Linked DNA regions of Ovis aries. The protein of the gene in region 1 interacts with the protein of each later gene in a pairwise test. Links are inferred from orthologs where the notes say so. Each region holds a gene or a part of one and is shown in the gene's direction. Other genes may lie near its edges.

Region 1 (3,748 bases):
GGGAATTCCCAGGCAACACTATCGGAGTGGATTGCCATTTCCTTTTCCCTGGGATCTTCTCAACCCAGGGATCAAACCCTTGTCTCCTAGGCGGATTCTTTACCACTGAGCCTCCTAGAAAGCCCATATATTTATATGTCTAAAATACAGTTGAGCAAATATTGGGACTGATTGGTGAACTTTGTGCAAATTAGTTAGAACGGAGAGCTCTAGAGAGGGTATCTCCTCCATAACTGAGAATTAGACAGAACGTAGAGGAGAATCAGTGAAGCCAGCAGAGTTGGCTTTTTTTGTTTGTGCCCTGGTGACCTGTATGAAAACAGTGCGTGACTCCAAAAGCTTCCTTGTGACTCTCCTCCGACTGACCTTCGATCAAGGCCCTTCCCCACTGCCGCCAGCCCTGACTTCCCTCGGACCCACACACTGCTTTTCACGCCCCTCTCTCCCCACACTTCAGGCCTGTTTCTCTTCCCCAGGTTCTATTAATACTTCCATTGCTTTCCACTCGCCAAGATTCGGCCCAAATCTCACCCTCTCATTCGCACCGTCAGGTTCTGCTAGAGGGCCCCTTAACCCGGCTCCCACCCCAGGGCCCCTCCTCCAGGTAGCGAGGCGACATCCTTCCCCCTCCCCGCTCCGCGCACACCTGTCGGCCTCCGACCTCCCCCGCACCGAGCGCCCACGCTCCCTCCACTGCGCCCCCAGGGCCCTGGCCCCGGGCCCACGCCGGCCTCACGCCCGCCCAGGGGCCTCGGCGCGCCCCCGCCCCTGCCCCCCACCTGCTCGCGTCCCCCCTCCCCCCGCCCCGCCCCGCCCCGCCCCGTCTCGCCTGGTCCCCAAGTCTCGGGCCCCCGCCCCCCGCGGGCCCGCTGCACTGTGGGTAGGCGGCGGCGGTGGCCGCGCAGAGGATCCCGCGGCGGCGGAGCGAGGCTGCGCGCGCCGAACATGGCTGAGAAGCAGAAGCACGACGGGCGGGTGAAGATCGGCCACTACGTGCTGGGCGACACGCTGGGCGTCGGCACCTTCGGCAAAGTGAAGAGTTGAGTACGCCGCGCCTCGCGGGAGGCCGAGCCCCGGAGTCCGGGTGTGCCGGGCCGCGAGCGGGCAGCGGGTGGCGGGGCCTGGCGGCAGGTGGAGCGGCCGCGCCCGGGCCGCGCGGAACCTGGGGACCGAGGGAAGGCAGTGGGTACCGCTTCGCCCCGCGGCAACGGCGGCGTCCCGGCGAGGGGGCTCGGGCGGGGGCGTCGCGAGGTCCTGGGACTGGCGTCCAGCACGCTTCTACTGCCCGACCTTAGTGCCCCCCTCTGAAACCCGGAGATTGGGTTGTTGGGCGAGATGCCTTTCAGCTGGGAGGCTGCAAGGACCCTGAGGAATGACCCACGGTCCTGATGGTGGAGTTCCCATTTCGTGCCAGGTGTCCCGTTAGGTGCTTCACGTGTGATCTCCTGTAATCCTTACAGCAGCTGCAGGTGTTATCTTCGCCTGTAACGTGAGAAAACGGGGACCCCCTAGCAGGGACGTGTTCAAGGTCACACTGAAATTGGCAGAACTGGGATAAAGGTCTAAAATGTCCTCCAATTTTGGCCAGGCTGGGAAGTCCTGCTGTCTGGATTCTTTCGTGCTCCCTGACTCTGGATTAGTAGGGCTGGTAGTTTACGGGGGATCCCCGGGGCGCGAGGTGGGTGGGTCTTTCTGCTGGCCTTGGGAAACGCTGGGATGTACCTGGGTTGGGTCAGGGCTTAGAACTGGGAGGTCTGAAGGTTGCTTGTGTGTGTAAAATGGTTCTAGGAAGGCTTCCAGGATGGAGGGAAAGGAAAAAGGGACTTTGGAGTTGGATCTTGAGGATGTAGGGCTGAGGCCAGAATTGCTAAGACGTACTCTGCTGAGCTCTGTGTTCCTAAGTGATGGGATCCCATTTTGGGTGTAGAAAAACAGGCTGCTTTGATTTTTTTTTTTTTTTTTTTTTACTGGTTACTAGTTAAGTATTGAACTTTCCTGTTTTTCTTAAGAGTCATGTGAGATTAATTAACTTGTCCTCTCTCCAGAACTAGAACCAACTTATTAAAAATACTTCTTTTGGTTGTTGCTTTTTTCTTTTTTCATTTTGCTGAGAAAATGTTGGGTAGGCAGCTTGAGGATTTTATTGAGGCCTCTATTTCCTTAAAAAATCATAATGAAAAAATTTTAAGTTTTAAAAATTATAGTAAATTACAATTTTGTGTTAGTTTCTTCTCTATGACATTGTGAATCAGCTGTAAGTATACATGTATTCCCTCCTTCTTGAGCCTCCCTCCCACTCTGCTAGGTCATCACAGAACGCTCAGCCGTTCTCTGTGCCATACCTTAGCTTCCCACTAGCTAGCTGTTTTACACATGGTAGTGTAGAGATCAATACTACTCTTCCACTTCGTCCAAAAATCCTATTTTAACCTTGAATCCAGGCTGTAAGTGGATAGAAGAGACTCGTTCATTCATATGGTAGGGATCAGCTTTTATTTACTTGCACACATCTGATACCCTTTCTTTTGTTCAGTAAACACTTACTGAGTGCCTACAGTGTGCCAGGCACTGTTCTAGGTAATGGGGACACCCTAGGAACAAAATCATTAAAATCTTTCCTTTTGTGGTGCTTATATTCAAGTAGGGGAAGACAGTAATCACTGTATATATTTGTGTGTGTGTGTGTGTGTGTGTGTGTGTAGTATTTTTAGTGCTGTGAAGACAAGTGAATCGGAGTTTTGTGCAGTTCACAGTTTTCAGTAAGATTGTCAGGCATGGCCTTACAGATAGGGTGTATGTTTATATAAAGACCTCAGGTTTGTAAAATTCTTTCAAGTCCTGTGAGGGCTGTGAAGTCCTTCCTGGCTTAGGTTTGCAAGACCTCATAAAGTGGTAAGTGGAGAGAATATATTTAGAGTGAATATATGAAGATTCAGGAACTGGATTAATGCTGTGACATTACTAAGGACTATTGTGTTTTGATGTTACGCACTCAAGTCTTCACCATCTAGGCATGTACACTTTCCAAGTTATATAATGTATACTGTTCCTTTTCAAATTGCATTAAAAATTGTTGTTTTTAAAAAAATTATTGTGTAACCTGAATATTGGCTAAAATACCCATCAGATAGATCATTTGGTCCATTGTCACAGGACAACTTAAATCTCTTTTTGTATATATCCTTGAACTGACCTAAAATATAAACCAACAGAAGGTACTTGGATTTATGAGAAATCCTTTTCCTGGAAGACTCCTTCCCAGTGAGCAGCTAACTGGGGAGATTTCCTAACACTGTATGAACACCTCTCCAAAGTTAGTGCTCTCCCATCCAAAGTTAGGATTAGTACAGTTGCTTAATAAAAATTATATAAGTGCAGCAGTCTAAAGTTACTCATTTACAGTGGACCCTTGAACACCATGAGTCTGAACTGCAGAGATCTACTTTTACAACAGATAATTTTTTTCCTCTAAATAAATACTACAGTATTATACAGTCAAGGTTGGTTGAATCCTAAAATGTGAAACCATGAATACTGCGGGAGGAATATAAGGTTATACACAAGTTTTCAACTTCCTGGGGTCCAGTGCCTCTAACTCCAGTGTTGTTCAAGGGTCCACTGTAATTCTTTAAGGGACTACAAACAAAAGCACGCTTATTTTTAAACACAACTTTTTTTCAAGCATATTTAAGATATCCTAAAAGTCACCCATCCTAAATGTATTATGTGTAGGACAAGTCAGTGATTT
Region 2 (3,748 bases), on another chromosome or scaffold:
TTCCCTTCTCCAAGGAATCTTCCGCACCCAGCGGTTGAACCCATTGGAAAGTAGTACTTCAGGACTTTATATTGTCACCTTGCTTATTTAACTTATATGCAGAGTACATCATAGGAAATGTCGGGCTGGATGATTCACAACCTGGAATCAAGATTGCTGGGAGAAATACCAACAACCTCAGATATGCAGAAGATACCACTCTAATGGCAGAAAGCCAAGAGGAGCCTGGTAGGCTACAGTCCATGGCGGGGCGGGGGGGGGGGGGGGGGGGGGGGCCGTGTGGGGTCGCAAAAGAGACACTAGTTAGCGACCAAACAACATCAACAGTGCTATGAGCTTTACACATATTTAATTCTCACAACAACCCTGTTGTTAGGTAGGTATTATTGGCTGTATTTTACAGTTGAGAAAATTGAACTCTAGAAAAATAAGAGTAATTTATTCAAAGTCGCAGTGTATTGGTTTGCTAGGGCTACCATCACTAAAAACTACAGACTGGATTCCTCAAACAAGAAAAATTTATTTCCTCAAAATTTTGAAGGCTAGAAGCCCAAGATAAAGGTGATGGCAGCATTGGTTTCCCTAAGGCCTTTCTTCTTGGATTGCAGGTGACTGTCTTTTTCCGGTATCTTTCTTACTAAGCTTGTTAACTTGAATATTTCCCTGATGGTAAGTTCTAACTTGAGTAGATCTAGAATACTAACCCAAAAGAATGAAAATTGAAGTAGTCCATCTAAACTAGAATGTGTGTAAATACCTTGAATTAGTCCGTGCTAAGTATATTAACTCAAAAGGAAGCTTGGTTTAAAAAGTTTAAGAACAGTGCAAGTAGCATCTTTGGTCCTTAAAGAGACAGGTACCTGAAGGGTGTGGGGGTGGGGCAGGTTGCATCTTTCCAGCCTTTTAAGGTAAAGGAGGGAGGGAATCATCATTAGCCAATCAGGCCCTGAGGTCACTTCTCAAAGTCACTTCCCGTCTCTCCACTTTCTCTCTTTTCATTTTGGTGGTGGGCTGGTGAGTGTGCATTTAATCTTGATTCCTAATTGTTTTGAATTTCTCGTCAGTTTGAGCCACTGTATCCTTGTGACAGCCTTAATTTCCAGCTAGCCTTGGAGTGTTTGTGAGCTACTAAGAGATTAATTTCGGCTGTGTGGAAATTGGAGGAAGGCAGTGAAATGATCTGCCTGGCTTCTTTCCACGTGGGCCTCTGCAGGACCCAGTCTGCCTTCCTTTTCTGAGACAGGGTGACCTGGGAACAATAGACTCTGCTTCATGTGCTTAGTGTTTCTGCAAAATACCTGGATTCATTTTGCTTGGAAGAAAAGGTACTGTTATTTTCTCAATGCTGTTTTGACTTGTGTCTTTTAGCGAGAGGGTAGATCTTGGAAGAGAAGTTTAGACCAGTCAGCTTTAATTCTCCTGGGTCTGCAGGGCTCAGGTTTTTACTGGGCGTGTGGGAGCTGCATTGGATGTTGTTTTTGCCCCGGTCTGCTTCCCTGGTCAGAGTTTAAAGCGTCTGCCTCCAATGCGGGAGACCTGGGTTCGATCCCTGGGTCGGGAAGATCCCCTGGAGAAGGAAATGGCAATCCACTCCACTATTCTTGCCTGGAGAATCCCATGGATGGAGGAGCCTGGTAGGCTACAGTCCACAGGGTTGCAAAGAGTCGAACATGACTGAGCGACTTCATTTCACTTCACTTCACTTTGCTCAGAGCAGTTCATCTTTCTTGTTGGGAAAGACACTACAAACTCTGAAGTCACATGGTTTTAACAAGCTTCAGGAGGAGCTCCCAATTTTAATGTCAGCACTGTGGTGATGATACCCTCAAAAGCTTAGGATGTACTGAAAAAGATGAGGGCCTGAGCTTAGTGCAAGCCTAAATGAAATTCCATCACCACAGTTTACTCCTCCAGTGATCTTAGGTGAGTCAGTGAACGATTCTGAGGCTTAGCTTTTGAAGATCAAAGTATATGAAGTCCAAGCACTGGTGGATGTATAATAAATGTTACATACCTTCTAGAAATAAGCAGTAAATATATTTTGTGTATTATTTTTCTCCTAAAAAGTTTTGCCCAGTGACCTTGAGTATTATACATTAATATATGAGTTATCTTTACAGGTAGAGGGTGTTGAGCAAGTAAACTTGTATTTTACATTGTTAGGAAAAATGGAAATGTACTGGGGACTGTAAACATGCAAAATAAAAGAGGAAGACTGAATTCCTCCAAAGCTATTTATTTTAAAAAGTCTTAAAAGTCCCAGATCATGTCTTGTGAAACAACTAGTTTTTCAGTTAGAGGTTTCGTTGAGTGGGAGAAAAATTAGTTTTCTATGGAGATATGCTTTATCTTATTTTATATCTATTTTACATAATTTAATCTTAACAGAGTTAAGGAAAGGAAAGGAAATCTGAGGCTTAGAAAAGCTGCATAACTTGCCCCAGGTCACAACAATGGAGCTAGGAGTCAAATCTAGCTCTGTCCAACTTCATTATCTTAACCATTAAGCTAAGTTGCCTGCCACTTATTTAAACCTTGCTTGGATCATAATAAACAATGGAAAATTCTGAAAGAGATGGGAATACCAGACCACCTGATCTGCCTCTTGAGAAACCTATATGCAGGTCAGGAAGCAACAGTTAGGACTGGACATGGAACAACAGACTGGTTCCAAATAGGAAAAGGAGTACGTCAAGGCTGTATATTGTCACCCTGCTTATTTAACTTATAGGCAGAGTACATCATGAGAAAGGCTGGGCTGGCAGAAGCACAAGCTAGAATCAAGATTGCCGGGAGAAATATCAATAACCTCAGATATGCAGATGACACCACCCTTATGGCAGAAAGTGAAGAGGAACTAAAAATCCTCTTGATGAAAGTGAAAGAAGAGAGTGAAAAAGTTGGCTTAAAGCTCAACATTCAGGAAACGAAGATCATGGCATCTGGTCCCATCACTTCATGGGAAATAGATGGGGAAACAGTGGAAACAGTGTCAGACTTTATTTTTTTGGGCTCCAAAATCACTGCAGATGGTGATTGCAGCCATGAAATTAAAAAACGCTTACTCCTTGAAAGGAAAGTATGACCAACCTAGATAGCATATTCAAAAGCAGAGATATTACTTTGCCAACAAAGTTCTGTCTAGTCAAGGATATGGTTTTTCCAGTAGTCATGTATGGATGTGAGAGTTGGACTGTGAAGAAAGCTGAGCGTCAGAGAATTAATGCTTTTGACCTGTGGTGTTGGAGAAGACTTTCTGAGAGTCCCTTGGATTGCAAGGAGATCCAACCAGTCCATCCTAAAGGAGATCAGTCCTTGGTGTTCTTTGAAAGGAATGATGCTAAAGCTGAAACTCCAGTAGTTTGGCCACCTCATGTGAAGAGTTGACTCATTGGAAAAGACTCTGATGCTGGGAGGGATTGAGGGAAGGAGGAGAAGGGGATGACAGAGGATGAGATGGCTGGGTGGTATCACCGACTCAATGGACATGAGTCTGAGTGAACTCCAGGAGTTGGTGATGGACAGGGAGGCCTGGCGTGCTGCAATTCATGGGGTCACAAAGAGTTGGACATGACTGAGCAACTGAACTGAACTGAACTGTATACCTATAAAATGGAAAAGATAACATAGTACTTGTGAAATGATTTACTCTAAGGACAGTGCTTTATAAATTTTAAGGCAGAGTTATTATGAAATAGATAAAATATGAAGTTATTCCTTACTGCTGTTTTGAGCCAAAGCCCTCAGG
Region 3 (3,648 bases), on another chromosome or scaffold:
TCCTCTTGGGCTCGTGAAAATGAGAAGATTCCAGGAGGCCTTTGCACCATTCTGGAAAGCCAAGACCTCAGGGCTCCTCTAGTTTTTTTCTGCGGGCTGTTAGTGGGATGCTCCTGAGGGTCCCCTCAGGGTCCCGGGGTGAGGGCAAGGCACTCACACACCTCTGTGTGCCCGCCCATCTGCCCCCGCTCACAGTATGTCATCAAGACAGTGGAGGTAGAGTCGTCCAAGACCAAGCAAGCCCTCAGTGAGTCACAGGCCCGGAACCAGCACCTGCAGGAGCAGGTGGCCATGCAGAGGCAGGTGCTGAAGGAGATGGAGCAGCAGCTGCAGAGCTCGCACCAGCTGACCGCACAGCTCCGGGCGCAGGTGCGTGGGTCATCGCGTGGCTGTTGGGGTGGCATGACGCTGGGGTCGCCCTGTGGCACAGTGCAGAGGCTGAGCACTTGGGGTCCCACAGACACGTGTTCCAGTCCCCCTCTCCCTGCTGGCCGTTGTGACCAAGGGCAAGTTTCTGCTCATATGTAAAATGGTCTGATCGCAGAACCCAGCTCCCGGTGGGGCTTGACCTCATTGCAAGATTGACTCAGGGCCTGGCACACACGCTCTTGGAAGGGTACCCTGGTCTGTATAATAACTGACAAGAAATCCTCTCCCTTGCTTCCCAGGGCCTGTGGGACCCTGGATGGTGCTGGGTTGATGCTGGGAAGTAGCTGCACGGAGCTGGCGGCCCTTTCGGGGAGAGAGATGGCCATCCTATCTCTTGCTTGTGCATATGTGTGTGTGTGAGGGGTGGGGCATCTTGCCTTCCCATGGGGCATTCCACTGAGCTCCTGACCCTGGCTTCAGATTGCCATGTACGAGTCGGAGCTAGAGAGGGCCCACGGGCAGATGCTGGAAGAGATGCAGTCCCTGGAGGAGGACAAGAACCGGGCCATCGAGGAGGCCTTCGCCAGAGCCCAGGTGGAGATGAAGGCAGTACACGAGAACCTGGCAGGTAAGCCGGCCGGCTGAGCCCTAGCCTGCTCCCTGCACCATGGCCCTTCACCCCATCCGCCTGTCACCCCTTTGTGTCCCCACAGGCGTCCGGACCAACCTGCTGACGCTGCAGCCAGCGCTGCGGACCCTGACCAATGACTACAATGGGCTCAAGCGTCAGGTGCGCGGCTTCCCGCTGCTGCTGCAGGAGGCCCTCAAGAGCGTCAAGGCCGAGGTGAGTGCAGGCCCTGGGTGGTGGGGCTAGGAGAGGCTCTGGAGCCCCTGGGTGGACACAGCATCCCCCACCACGCCCTTCCCAAACTCAGACAAACCCCCAGACGGCAGCTCCCTTCCCTACCACACACATGGCTGTCCTCAGACCATTGGAAAACCAGTTTGATTTAGGGGTAGGTATTTGGATATTTGTCTTGTTATGAGTCTGTAAAGCAAACACGTCACATATATCTTTATATCCCATATGGGCTACGCATATCTTTATATTTCAAACATGCTACACATATCTTTACATCTGTTAGGTTTAATTTAATTTTTTCAAGCTGTACTTGTGCAGTATGAGAATAACCAACGTGTCTAAAGTGCTTCCTACATGCCGAGCCTTTTATAGCCATCAGCTCCTTGAGTCTGTGTGACAGCTCTGCAGGACAGACATATATTTGGGGAATCGAAAATAGTTCTTCTCCTTTAATAAAAAAAATCATGTCAATAATACATGGACATGTTGCAAGTACACACTTCACAGATAGGCGTCGGATGAAAAGGAAAGGCCTCTCTCTGCCACCCAGCCTGCTCCCCAAAAGAAACCTCTCCCAGCATGTCCTCTGAAGGGCATCCGAGCATACTGGAAACTGTTGACACGCGTGTGCATGTACACACACTTCCCTTTCTCCCAGCAAAGGGGAACAGGTGTGAGTGTGGCCTGCATCTTGTTTCTTTTCCCTGTGAATGGAACTTGAAAGCTTTATCACCAGCTCCTATGAATTCCCATTTTACAGATGAGGAAATTGAGGCTTGAAGACATTGAGCCAATTGCTTCTGGTCTCCCAGCTCCTCAGAGTAGAGCTGAGATTTGGGTCCAACTGAATCCTGTGGAGTGAGGGCTGAGTCCCAGCTCTTTGCTCATCAGCAGGGCAACCTTGAGATTGGCTTAGCTTCTTTGGGGCTCAGTTTCTTGCTCTGTAAAATGGGTCTGGTCGCAGTACCTACCCAGAGGGTTACTGGGAAAATCTGACGTGTGACAGCTCAGCTCAGGTGCCCAGTCCAGGGCAGGCAGCGATGAGCAGGCTGTCAGTGGGGGGTGGGGGGCGGCAGCTGGGCATGTGAGGTGGGTGGAACTGCCCACCTGATGGCGCTGCCCTTCCCCCACCAGATTGGCCAGGCCATCGAGGAGGTCAACAGCAACAACCAGGAGCTGCTGCGCAAGTACCGCCGGGAGCTGCAGCTGCGTAAAAAGTGCCACAATGAGCTTGTGCGGCTGAAAGGTGACTGCCGGCTGGGTTGGGGGGTGCCCAGCAGAGGGGGCCCTGACCTGCCTCGGGGGTGCTCCTGCCCTTCCCTTTGGCCTCCAGTGCCAGTCCTTGGAGCTGTGCCCTGTCATTTTGAGGCACTGTTGTGACCCCCTCTTTGTAAATAGGGGTACAGAGGCACAGAAATGTCACAGGGAATTTGCTCAGAACTGCATGGCGAGTAAACAGACGGTCCACCTTGGATCCGTCCAACTCTGAAGCCTTTCCTAGTGCCTGTGGTAGCCCACCAGGTGTTGGAGGAGCAGGGCATTGAAGTACTGGGCGGTGGGTGGCTAGAATGTCATTCTGATGTAGGGCTTGGTTCAAGCTTGAGAGAGCACCTGTTCACTGCCCAGCAGTCCAGAGAGCACCTGCCCTGTGCCACATGCTCTTCCAGACACTGGGGATATGTCTGTGGACCCCACAGAACCCGTCCTTGCCCTTATGGTGCTCCCTTCAGTGGCGGTGGGGGGGGGGAGCAGATGGTGATCATTAATCACCCTGAGAACTGCATCAGTGCCCCTTTACCTGGGCTGGGGAGGGGTTCTCTGAGCTCCTAAATATCTGACAGTTGAGGGTGCTGAGGGGGCTTCTTGAAGGAGGTGGAACCAGGGCTGAGACCTGGACTGTGAGCTGGAGTGGCCAGGTGAAGGGAGGTGGGGCCGTGCTAGATGTGATGGGGAGCTTTCTCTTCATTCAAGCCTCTGGGATCCCCTCTAAGGGCTTGAAGCAAGGCGGGTGGTGTGATCGAATCTGTGCCCCAGTCAACCCCTGGGCTGCCTTGTTGCCTGTGCCCACCTTCTGCCTGGTCCCGTCAGCCCATCTGATTCCCAAACTCTGTCCTGGCATTCACAGTGCCCTTCTAGAATGAGAGAGCAAGCTCCTTGGCTTAGTGGGCCCCAAGCCCCTCACTGTGTGTATGAGGAAACTGAAGTCTAGTTGTGTGATGAGGTGTCCATTTGGGTATCCCACTCAAACTGGGTGCAAGGTGCAAAGTCTCAACTCTGAAAACTGACCTTTCCTCTATGTCCCCAAGGTGAGGCTGTCACCCTCAGTCGGTTTGCTTAGCAAAAAATGTATTGACACATGAATTCATAGTATAGTGTGAATGACTAAGAACAGCTTTGTGGGCCACCTTGCTCTTGGG

What was found.
Region 2: the proteins of PRKAA2 (region 1) and CCNB1IP1 interact in binary tests that used the Homo sapiens proteins (3 or more experiments, as listed by UniProt). The two-hybrid records come from large-scale screens. The link is inferred for Ovis aries from reciprocal best matches to the Homo sapiens genes PRKAA2 and CCNB1IP1.
Region 3: the proteins of PRKAA2 (region 1) and KIFC3 interact in binary tests that used the Homo sapiens proteins (3 or more experiments, as listed by UniProt). The two-hybrid records come from large-scale screens. The link is inferred for Ovis aries from reciprocal best matches to the Homo sapiens genes PRKAA2 and KIFC3.

The regions. Positions count from the first base shown.
Region 1 is NC_056054.1:31,181,808-31,185,555, forward strand, and holds the start of PRKAA2 (5'-AMP-activated protein kinase catalytic subunit alpha-2), read left to right. Parts: upstream 1-903; 5' UTR 904-945; coding exon 946-1,039; intron 1,040-3,748. UniProt on the Homo sapiens protein: Catalytic subunit of AMP-activated protein kinase (AMPK), an energy sensor protein kinase that plays a key role in regulating cellular energy metabolism.
Region 2 is NC_056060.1:25,047,160-25,050,907, forward strand, and holds the start of CCNB1IP1 (E3 ubiquitin-protein ligase CCNB1IP1), read left to right. Parts: upstream 1-961; 5' UTR 962-1,325; intron 1,326-3,748. UniProt on the Homo sapiens protein: Ubiquitin E3 ligase that acts as a limiting factor for crossing-over during meiosis: required during zygonema to limit the colocalization of RNF212 with MutS-gamma-associated recombination sites and thereby establish early differentiation of crossover and non-crossover sites.
Region 3 is NC_056067.1:25,319,749-25,323,396, reverse strand, and holds part of KIFC3 (kinesin-like protein KIFC3), read left to right. Parts: intron 1-195; coding exon 196-369; intron 370-849; coding exon 850-997; intron 998-1,082; coding exon 1,083-1,213; intron 1,214-2,365; coding exon 2,366-2,477; intron 2,478-3,648. UniProt on the Homo sapiens protein: Minus-end microtubule-dependent motor protein. Involved in apically targeted transport. Required for zonula adherens maintenance.